Oryctolagus cuniculus: one gene and its partner. The protein of the gene in region 1 purifies or fractionates together with the protein of each later gene. This does not show direct contact. Links are inferred from orthologs where the notes say so. Each region holds a gene or a part of one and is shown in the gene's direction. Other genes may lie near its edges. The genes, in order: MTPN and CAPZB.

Region 1 (4,264 bases):
AGAGGAAGAGGAAAGAAAGGGGGGCAAAGAAGGGAGGAAGATGGGAGGGAGGGATGAAGGGAGGGAGGAGGGAGAGGGAAGGGAGGAAGATGGGAGGGAGGAAGTGAGGCAGGAAGGACTGGAGGGAGAGAGGGCAGGAGGGAGGGATGAAGGAAGGGAGAAGGGAGAGGCAAGGGAATAAGATGGGAGGGAGGAAGGGAGGCAGGAAGGACTGGAGGGAGAGAGGGCAGGAGGGAGGGAGGATGGGATGGAGGGAGGGATGAAGGGAGGGAGGAGGGAGAGGGAAAGGAAGGAAGGGGAGGAAGATGGGAGGGAGGGATGAAGGGAGGGAGGAGGGAGAGGGAAGGGAGGAAGATGGGAGGGAGGAAGGGAGGCAGGAAGGACTGGAGGGAGAGAGGGAGAGAGGGCAGGAGGGAGGGAGGATGGGATGGAGGGAGGGATGAAGGGAGGGAGGAAGGAGAGGGAAGGGAGGAAGGGAGGCAGGAAGGACTGGAGGAGAGAGGGAGGGAGGGCAGGAGGGAGGGAGAGAGGGCAGGAGGGAGGGATGAAGGGAGGGAGGAGGGAGAGGGAAGGGAAGAAGATGGGAGGGAGGAAGGGAGGCAGGAAGGACTGGAGGGAGAGAGGGCAGGAGGGAGGGAGGATGGGGTGGAGGGAGGGATGAAGGGAGGGAGAGGGAAAGGAAGGAAGGGGAGGAAGATGGGAGGGAGGGATGAAGGGAGGAAGGAGGGAGAGGGAAGGGAGGAAGATGGGAGGGAGGAAGGGAGGCAGGAAGGACTGGAGGGAGAGAGGAAGAGAGGGCAGGAGGGAGGGAGGGAGGGAGGGAAGAAGGGAGGGAGGAGGGAGAGGGAAGGGAGGAAGGGAGGCAGGAAGGACTGGAGGGAGAGAGGGCAGGAGGGAGGGAGGATGGGATGGAGGGAGGGATGAAGGGAGGGAGGAGGGAGAGGGAAGGGAGGAAGGGGAGGAAGATGGGAGGGAGGAAGGAGTCAGGAAGGACTGGAGGGAGAGAGGAAGAGAGGGGAGGAGGGAGGGAGGACGGGATGGAGGGAGGGGAGAGAAGGGAGAAACCCAAATCAAAAATCGCCTGAACTTGACATCTTTAGAAGGTGAGCAAGAGGCCCTCCAAGATTTAAAAAAGTTCTTCCCGTTTACTGGGTGCAGAAATCTCCTATTCCAGTCTGACCTGCTCTGACCCTCCCCCACCGGCTCTTCTCCCCGCAGCTCCCCGGTACCCCTACACTCAGCTTCCCAAACCCGGGAACCCCTCCCCAGCCCCTCCCTCCCGGCCAGGCGAGGGCCACCTAGCCACTGCGCCTGCGCACTAGTGTGGCTCGCGCCGCCGGCGCAGGGGCGGGGTCCACAGAGGGCAGTTCCGGGGAGGGGAAGAGGAAGAGGAAGTTAGGGGCGGGTCCTAGCGGGGAGTGAACCGGAAGTGCTAGCGCTCCAGCTTCTCTCGGCCAGGCGGAACCTGCTCCGCTGGGCCTGGTGGCCGCAAAAGTTCATTCTCCCGCCCCAACGGTTGTCGCGGCCAACTGCCTCGCCCGTCTGGCAGCCTAAGCCGCCTTCTCGTCTCCTCTCCGGCTTCGTGCGGCCCCGTGTCCCTCCCGCCGGGCGGTATCCGCTGGCTGCTGCCGCCGCCGCCTCGTCTTCTGCCGGACCAAGCGGCCCGCCCCGCTGCAGCGATGTGCGACAAGGAGTTCATGTGGGCCCTGAAGAACGGAGACTTGGACGAGGTGAAGGACTACGTGGCCAAGGTGAGCGGGCGAGAGGACGGGGGTGGGGTGGAGATGAGGCAGAGCTGATGGAGCCGGGCTGGCGGGGGCGGGCGGGCGGGCGGGGAGACGGGCGGAGGTGGCTCGGAGGAGACGGGGAGTGCAGGTGGCCGGGTGGCGGGTGGCGTGCTGTGTCAGGTCCCTGCTGTGTGCTGTTGCCGGCCGGAGCCCTCGGGGCAGGGCCGGAGTGGTCCCGGGCTCCCGAGAGTCCGTCCTGAGCGCTGAGCGTCTGGGGCTGGCCCCTTAACTCTGGCTGTGAGTGGGGGTACGTCTCCGTCTCCGACTTGCCCGTCGCCGGGCGAAGTCGTCTGAGTAGCGTTTTCTCTAACTCTGGGCCTGGCGTGAATTTTAAAAAGTCACTGACCGTGAAAGAGGGTACCGAAAATAGCAGTAGTTAACATCCTGAAACTCGGTGTCACTTGGTTGTGGAGCCTTGACTCAGGGTGTGGCCTTTTCCTCTCCCCTCGCCACAACAAACGCATCTTTGCCTCAAGTGGTAGGGCTGTCAGTTGACATCTGGGGTGTTGGAGAAATAGGAGTGGTCGTCAGACAAGCAAGCGTGGTAAGTTCATCCTCTCGCCAGTTCGCTCTGGAACGCTCACATGCGTGATGATGCGGTGCAGTGACAGTGTGCTTGAGGGTGAAATCATGATCGGGAGAGCCGACCTCAAAACCCAAGCGCAGACCGTAAAACCGCAGCCGTAATGAGACCCGTGACCTCACCTTCTGTAGGAGGGGACTTACAGGTGATTCTAGTATGGTGCTCACCCAACAAAAAGGCTTCCAGAATGGAAGTCTGGTTTTGTGACGCTGCGAAGGGCGTCTTGCGCACCTTCTGGAACGCGGGAGAGCCTATTGTAGATTTTCATTCTTCCAAGGTGTGACCAGCGGCGTGCCGCCTTGGAGATGTGTGGTAGGAAGCCAGGAAGCAGAAGCAGGAGTTTCTTAAAACTTGGAGGGTTGCGCAAGGCAGGCTGCTGACTGCTGTACTGTATTCTGTACCCTCACAATTTAGATCTTTCTGCTTGTTGCTTGCAGTGGCTTTTTAGGACAGGGTGCCTTCTGCGCACTGTCTTCTCCGCTAGTGGTTTCTCACTGAGATCTGAATTATTGGCTGTTTCAATGTAAGGTTGAAGAAAAGAAATTATGTGGAACTGCAGTCCGTGGTAGCCTGACCAGTGGTGGGACATTGTATTCTGGAAATGAGTAGGCTTTGGTTTTCTTGTCAAGGCGGAACCCAGGTTATTTGAAATTCAGAAAGTTGCTAAGTACTAACTGAACTTAAAGCTACAAAAGTAACACACTTCATATGCAGTCTTCGTGATACATATGTTATCTTTGCAAATACTACAAGGTAAGTCCTATCATTAGTCTCATACAGATACTGATTTTACAAAATGGTGAACCTAGAAGTGCTCACTTCAGAGCAGAGACATTTTAGTTACCCCATACAGTCTCTCTCACTCTAAAACATAGTTGTGAAAGCATAAAAAAACAAGATTTATGGTAGGACACCCCCAAGTTCCACATCCAGGCCAATAATTTGTGCCCAAGGAGTTCTCAATCACATGAAAACATTGTTGTAAGAATATATGCCAATAAGGATGGATTAATTTAATTTCCTTTCAGGTGGCTTTGAAATTAGGTTACTGTGTTAAGTTTGATTCTCCCCTAATTACTACCGTACCACCTACTGTCATTAACAACAACAACAAAAAAAAATGTGTGTGATAGGGAGGATGTACAAAAGTAAAGGAAGTATTGAATACCAGGTTATCCAAAAGGGTTTGACTGTAATGTAATCCTACTTACAGACCATTGAACTTTTGCCTTTCTTAGTTTTCACTGAGTAACATGGTTCTCTTAAAATATCTTTTACTTTGTTAATGAGAACAATAACCAAAACAAAAAACACCTGACCCTCCAGTTTTTTATTGATGAACTCCTTTATTTTGCCTTTTTACACTCTCAAGTCCTAATTACAGCCTCTTCTGCTCAGCTGCCTCTTCTGTACTTGTTCATTATCTCATCTTTTTCATCCATCAATTTAGGAGCATTATTTGCTGAGTTTAGGTGCATTTATCTGAGTTGGTGTATACAGAGCACTAAAGAAACATTTGAACTTGTCTAGTTTTCATTCTTAGAAGCCTTTTTAAAATAATCTATTTAGTAACTTTATGCAAATCACTCATATTGTTAACATATAAGAATGTTCTTGTAGGAGAAGCATTTTAATGTTTTTCTTTAAAAAAATCGGTAATTGTATGTTTTTACTTGCTTCTGACTTCTCTACAGAAATTGAAGTATGGATAGCCATAAATTGTTGATGTTAAGTGAGTTTTTGAACTCTGAAGAGTCAGTTCAGAATTCCCAGACCACTGAAAATTGCATGTTTCTATAAGGAAAAAGCAACATACAGGAAAAAAGTTAGGTTACTCCATATTAAACATTAAAATGATGGTTGAGGCAATTTTAAAAAGTCTTTCACTAGTGCA
Region 2 (3,801 bases), on another chromosome or scaffold:
TCCCAGGCTCTGGAGGAGTTTGCTGCTCCCATCTGTCCTGCAAAGAGCCGTCTAGAAGAAGGAAACTGGGGCAGCAGCTGCTCCAGGAGCCGTGTCGCACCCTGCGCTGCGTCCCCCGTCTGGGAGGAATCTGAGTCCCTGAGAAGGCAGAAGGGGTGTCAGAGACCACAGAGCCGCAGCCCTGAGACCACAGAGCCACAGCCCTGAGCCCACGCTCTCCCCGCGTCCCTCCCCAACCTGGGGCACCAGGACACAGCCAGGGATCCACCCCGGGACCTGTGCAGGGTTGTTCATCCCACACTGCCAGGCGAATCGCAGCTGAGGGGCAGCCGGGACCTGGACTGGCCATCTGTCTCCTGGCTCACGGGCCTGTTTCCTGCAGGTATTTTGAAGGTGGTGTCTCATCTGTCTACCTCTGGGATCTGGATCATGGCTTTGCGGGAGTGATCCTCATAAAGAAGGCTGGAGATGGATCAAAGAAGATCAAAGGCTGCTGGGATTCCATCCACGTGGTGGAAGTGCAGGTACAGCCCCCGCAGCAGCCGGCAGCCGGGCCTCCGGGTGCAGCTTTGGCGCTGGGGACACTGATGAAAACCCCTGCTAATTCCTAGAAACACCCCAAAGCCGATTGGATGCAGATCAGTGAGGACTGAGTAGTCGTGGATCATAAGGTCCCAGCGAACTCGGCGTACGCGGTTACAGATGCAGCCCTTTCAAAAACAGCGTGGGGTGGGTGTGCGGCACGGCAGTCAGGATGCGACTTAGGGTCCTGCGCCCCGTAGTGGAGTGCCTGGGTCCTCCCCGCTCTGCTTCCAGTTCCAGCTTCTTGCTAACGCACACCCTGGCAGGCTGGAGTACCTGGGTCCCTGCCACCCACATGAGAGACCCAGATTCAGTTCTCAGCTTCTGGCTTCGGCTGTGCCCAGCCCTGGGTGTTGAAAGTGGGGAATAAATCTCTCACGCCATCTTTTGGCTTTTCAAATAAAATAATTAAAAACATTTCGGGGAGTCCCTCCCTTCCTCCCCCCCCCCCCTCTCTAGAAAGCTACAGATCTCCCCGTTGGTGTTTCTCTCTCCAGGTTATCTGTAACAGCCTGGGCTGTGCCTGGCCAAAGCCAGGAACTGGCACTCAGTCCAGGTCTCCCACTTGGGTGTCCCTTGCTGCCTCCCAGGGCAGATGCGAGGAGGGAGCTGGATCCAGCATAGAGTACGGGCATGCCAGATGCCCACCCCAGTGGCCATGGCTGAGGAGGGAGCACTTGAGCGTTCCTCGGGCTCTGATCTCTCGTCCTCCCCTGCAGGAGAAGTCCAGTGGCCGCACTGCCCACTACAAGCTGACTTCCACGGTGATGCTGTGGCTGCAGACCAACAAATCCGGCTCGGGTACCATGAACCTCGGAGGCAGCCTTACCAGACAGGTAGTGTCTCCCTTCACTCAGCCCAGCGCACACTCCAGCTCCGCCCCCGAGCGGCCATGGCTGCCTCGCAGCGCTCGTGGGCTGCACTCCCTCGGCCCCCTCTCTGGCCATGAGCAGCCCTGTGGTCCGGTCAGCCCTCGGCTTTGTCAGGAGCTTGTTAGAAACACAGAGCTCTCAACCCTGACCGGTCAGCTTCTCCTGACTTCCGCTCTCGATGCTATTGGTGAAGCGTCAGAACAGATAAGCTACCTTTGGCAAGCCTCACCCATCCTGAGAGAAGGCATTCACCTGTGCCCAGTGCAGGGCGGCAGGACGCTTGGGGTGGGGCAGAGGGGAAGCCCAGACCCAGCCCACCCCAGCCTGGGAGGGAGCTGCCTTCGCCCGCCAGCGCGGATGCTGTGTTGGTGGAAGTGCGGTGGCCTTGGGCGTCCAGGGGAGCTCTCTTCTCCCGTCCCTGTTCCCGTTCTCGTCCGGCCTGCTCTCCTGGACAAGGGTTCCTTTTAACATCAAAAATCTTTTCAGTAAGATAACTGTACTCTTAGTTAGTTGCTGTTGATAGAAAAAATAACATAGAGCAGAAAGGATTGATTCGGTAACCCTCTGAAGTGGATTTGTAGTCACGCGGTTGAGACGGTGCCTGGGCGTGGCATACCTGAGGTGCAAGGGCCGTCCCACCGGGCTGGAGGCTGCCAGGTTCCTGGGGTCCCCGTCTGGCCTCTGGCACCAGGGCTCACAGGGCAGGGCCTGTCCTCTCATGTGGGATGGCTCTTGCCTTCTGGGGACCAGTGACACGGGAGGGGCGACCAGCCCTGCCACAGGCTCCTCCCCCACTCCGGCCACCTGGCAGTCGGGTGCAAAATCCTGGCTCCGTATCCGGAGACTACTTCCTGCATCACTTACCGCTCTGCACTGTTTATAGTTCCACCCGGTCTACAGTGACCTGGACAAATATTTAGTCCTCGGCCTTCCTAGTAGTTTAAATCAGAGCTGTCAGCCCACGGCCAGCGCCTGGTTCCGGCTTGGCGTGCAGGGTGCTCCTGCCAGACCAGACTCGGGCCTGACGAGCAGCTGTCCTCAGAACACCTCAGGGGGCCACCGGCCTGCTCTTGCCTCTGCTCTGGGAGCTTTAGCGAGAAGACCCTGACTCCTGTCGTCATGTAATCACCTGCGGTGCGTGGCAGCTGGGGCCGTCTCCAGTGTCGGTCACTAACTGGGGGGTGCAGTGAGGTCAGTGAGCCTGAGTAGATGGCACAGATTCTGAGCAGCAGGCGACGCAAGGGCCGCGGGCTTCAGCCGTGCGTCCCGGGCTCAGCCTTGGCCAGGTGCCTCTGGTTGCCTTGGCAGGTAGGGGGCTGGAGGAGCGGCAAAGAGGTTCCCGGCGGATGGAGGAAGCCAGGGAGCGTGTGCAGACCCTGTGTGGGGCCGGCTCCCCAGGGAGGGTGCGCAGACCCTGTGTGGGGCCGGCTCCCCAGGGAGGGTGCGCAGACCCTGTGTGGGGCCGGCTCCCCAGGGAGGGTGCGCAGACCCTGTGTGGGGCCGGCTCCCCAGGGAGCGTTGCAGACCCTGTGTGGGGCCGACTCCCCAGGGAGGGTGCGCAGACCCTGTGTGGGGCCGGCTCCCCAGGGAGGGTGCGCAGACCCTGTGTGGGGCCGGCTCCCAGCAAGGACAAGCGCAGGAGAGCCAGCGTTCCCATTGAACAGGGAGGAAGCAGGTTCAGGCTGGTAAGGGCCTCTCCCATGCTGACTCAAGCAATAAGAGGCAAAGCCTGGATTTGACCCTAGATTTGTTGACTTCCCCTCACCGCCCCCGAAAAAAACCCACTGCTTTCTGCCACGCCACACTTTTGATTTTTGGGGGGGGGGGCCATACTAGTTTTTTGTTGTTGTTGTTTAGTTGGTTTTTTGGGGTTTTTGGGGTTTTTTTTTGAAGATTTATTATTTATTTGAAAGGCAGAGTTATAGAGAAAGAGGTCTTCCATCCTCTGGTTCACTCCCCAGATAGCTGCAGTGGCCGGAGCTACACCGATCCGAAGCCAAGAGCTTCTTCCAGGTCTCCCACGCGGGTGCAGGGGCCCAAGGACTTGGGCCATCTTCTGCTGCTTTCCCAGGCCATAGCAGAGAGCTGGATCAGAAGTGGAGCAGCTGGGACTTGAACCAGCACCCCTATGGGATGCCGGCACTGCAGGCGGCTTTACCCGCTACGCCACGCGCCGGCCCCGCTTTTGGTCTTGATCTGTCCCCGGTGGCTGATGTTCAGCAGATGCTAAATAAACATTCGAAGGGAAATACTCTGAATATGAAGCTCAACAGAGGCAGAAGCTGCTGAGCCAGCTGCCCGAGCACTTGTGCCAAGCGGCTGCTGTGGCCCGTGGTGTCGGGCGGGC

Evidence for each region.
Region 2: the proteins of MTPN (region 1) and CAPZB purify together in Homo sapiens (co-immunoprecipitation; 3 studies listed by BioGRID and IntAct, with this or other methods). This does not show direct contact. The link is inferred for Oryctolagus cuniculus from reciprocal best matches to the Homo sapiens genes MTPN and CAPZB.

The regions. Positions count from the first base shown.
Region 1 is NC_091434.1:171,773,298-171,777,561, reverse strand, and holds the start of MTPN (myotrophin), read left to right. Parts: upstream 1-1,356; 5' UTR 1,357-1,679; coding exon 1,680-1,751; intron 1,752-4,264. UniProt on the Homo sapiens protein: Promotes dimerization of NF-kappa-B subunits and regulates NF-kappa-B transcription factor activity. Plays a role in the regulation of the growth of actin filaments.
Region 2 is NC_091438.1:151,246,413-151,250,213, forward strand, and holds part of CAPZB (F-actin-capping protein subunit beta), read left to right. Parts: intron 1-382; coding exon 383-524; intron 525-1,301; coding exon 1,302-1,418; intron 1,419-3,801. UniProt on the Homo sapiens protein: F-actin-capping proteins bind in a Ca(2+)-independent manner to the fast growing ends of actin filaments (barbed end) thereby blocking the exchange of subunits at these ends.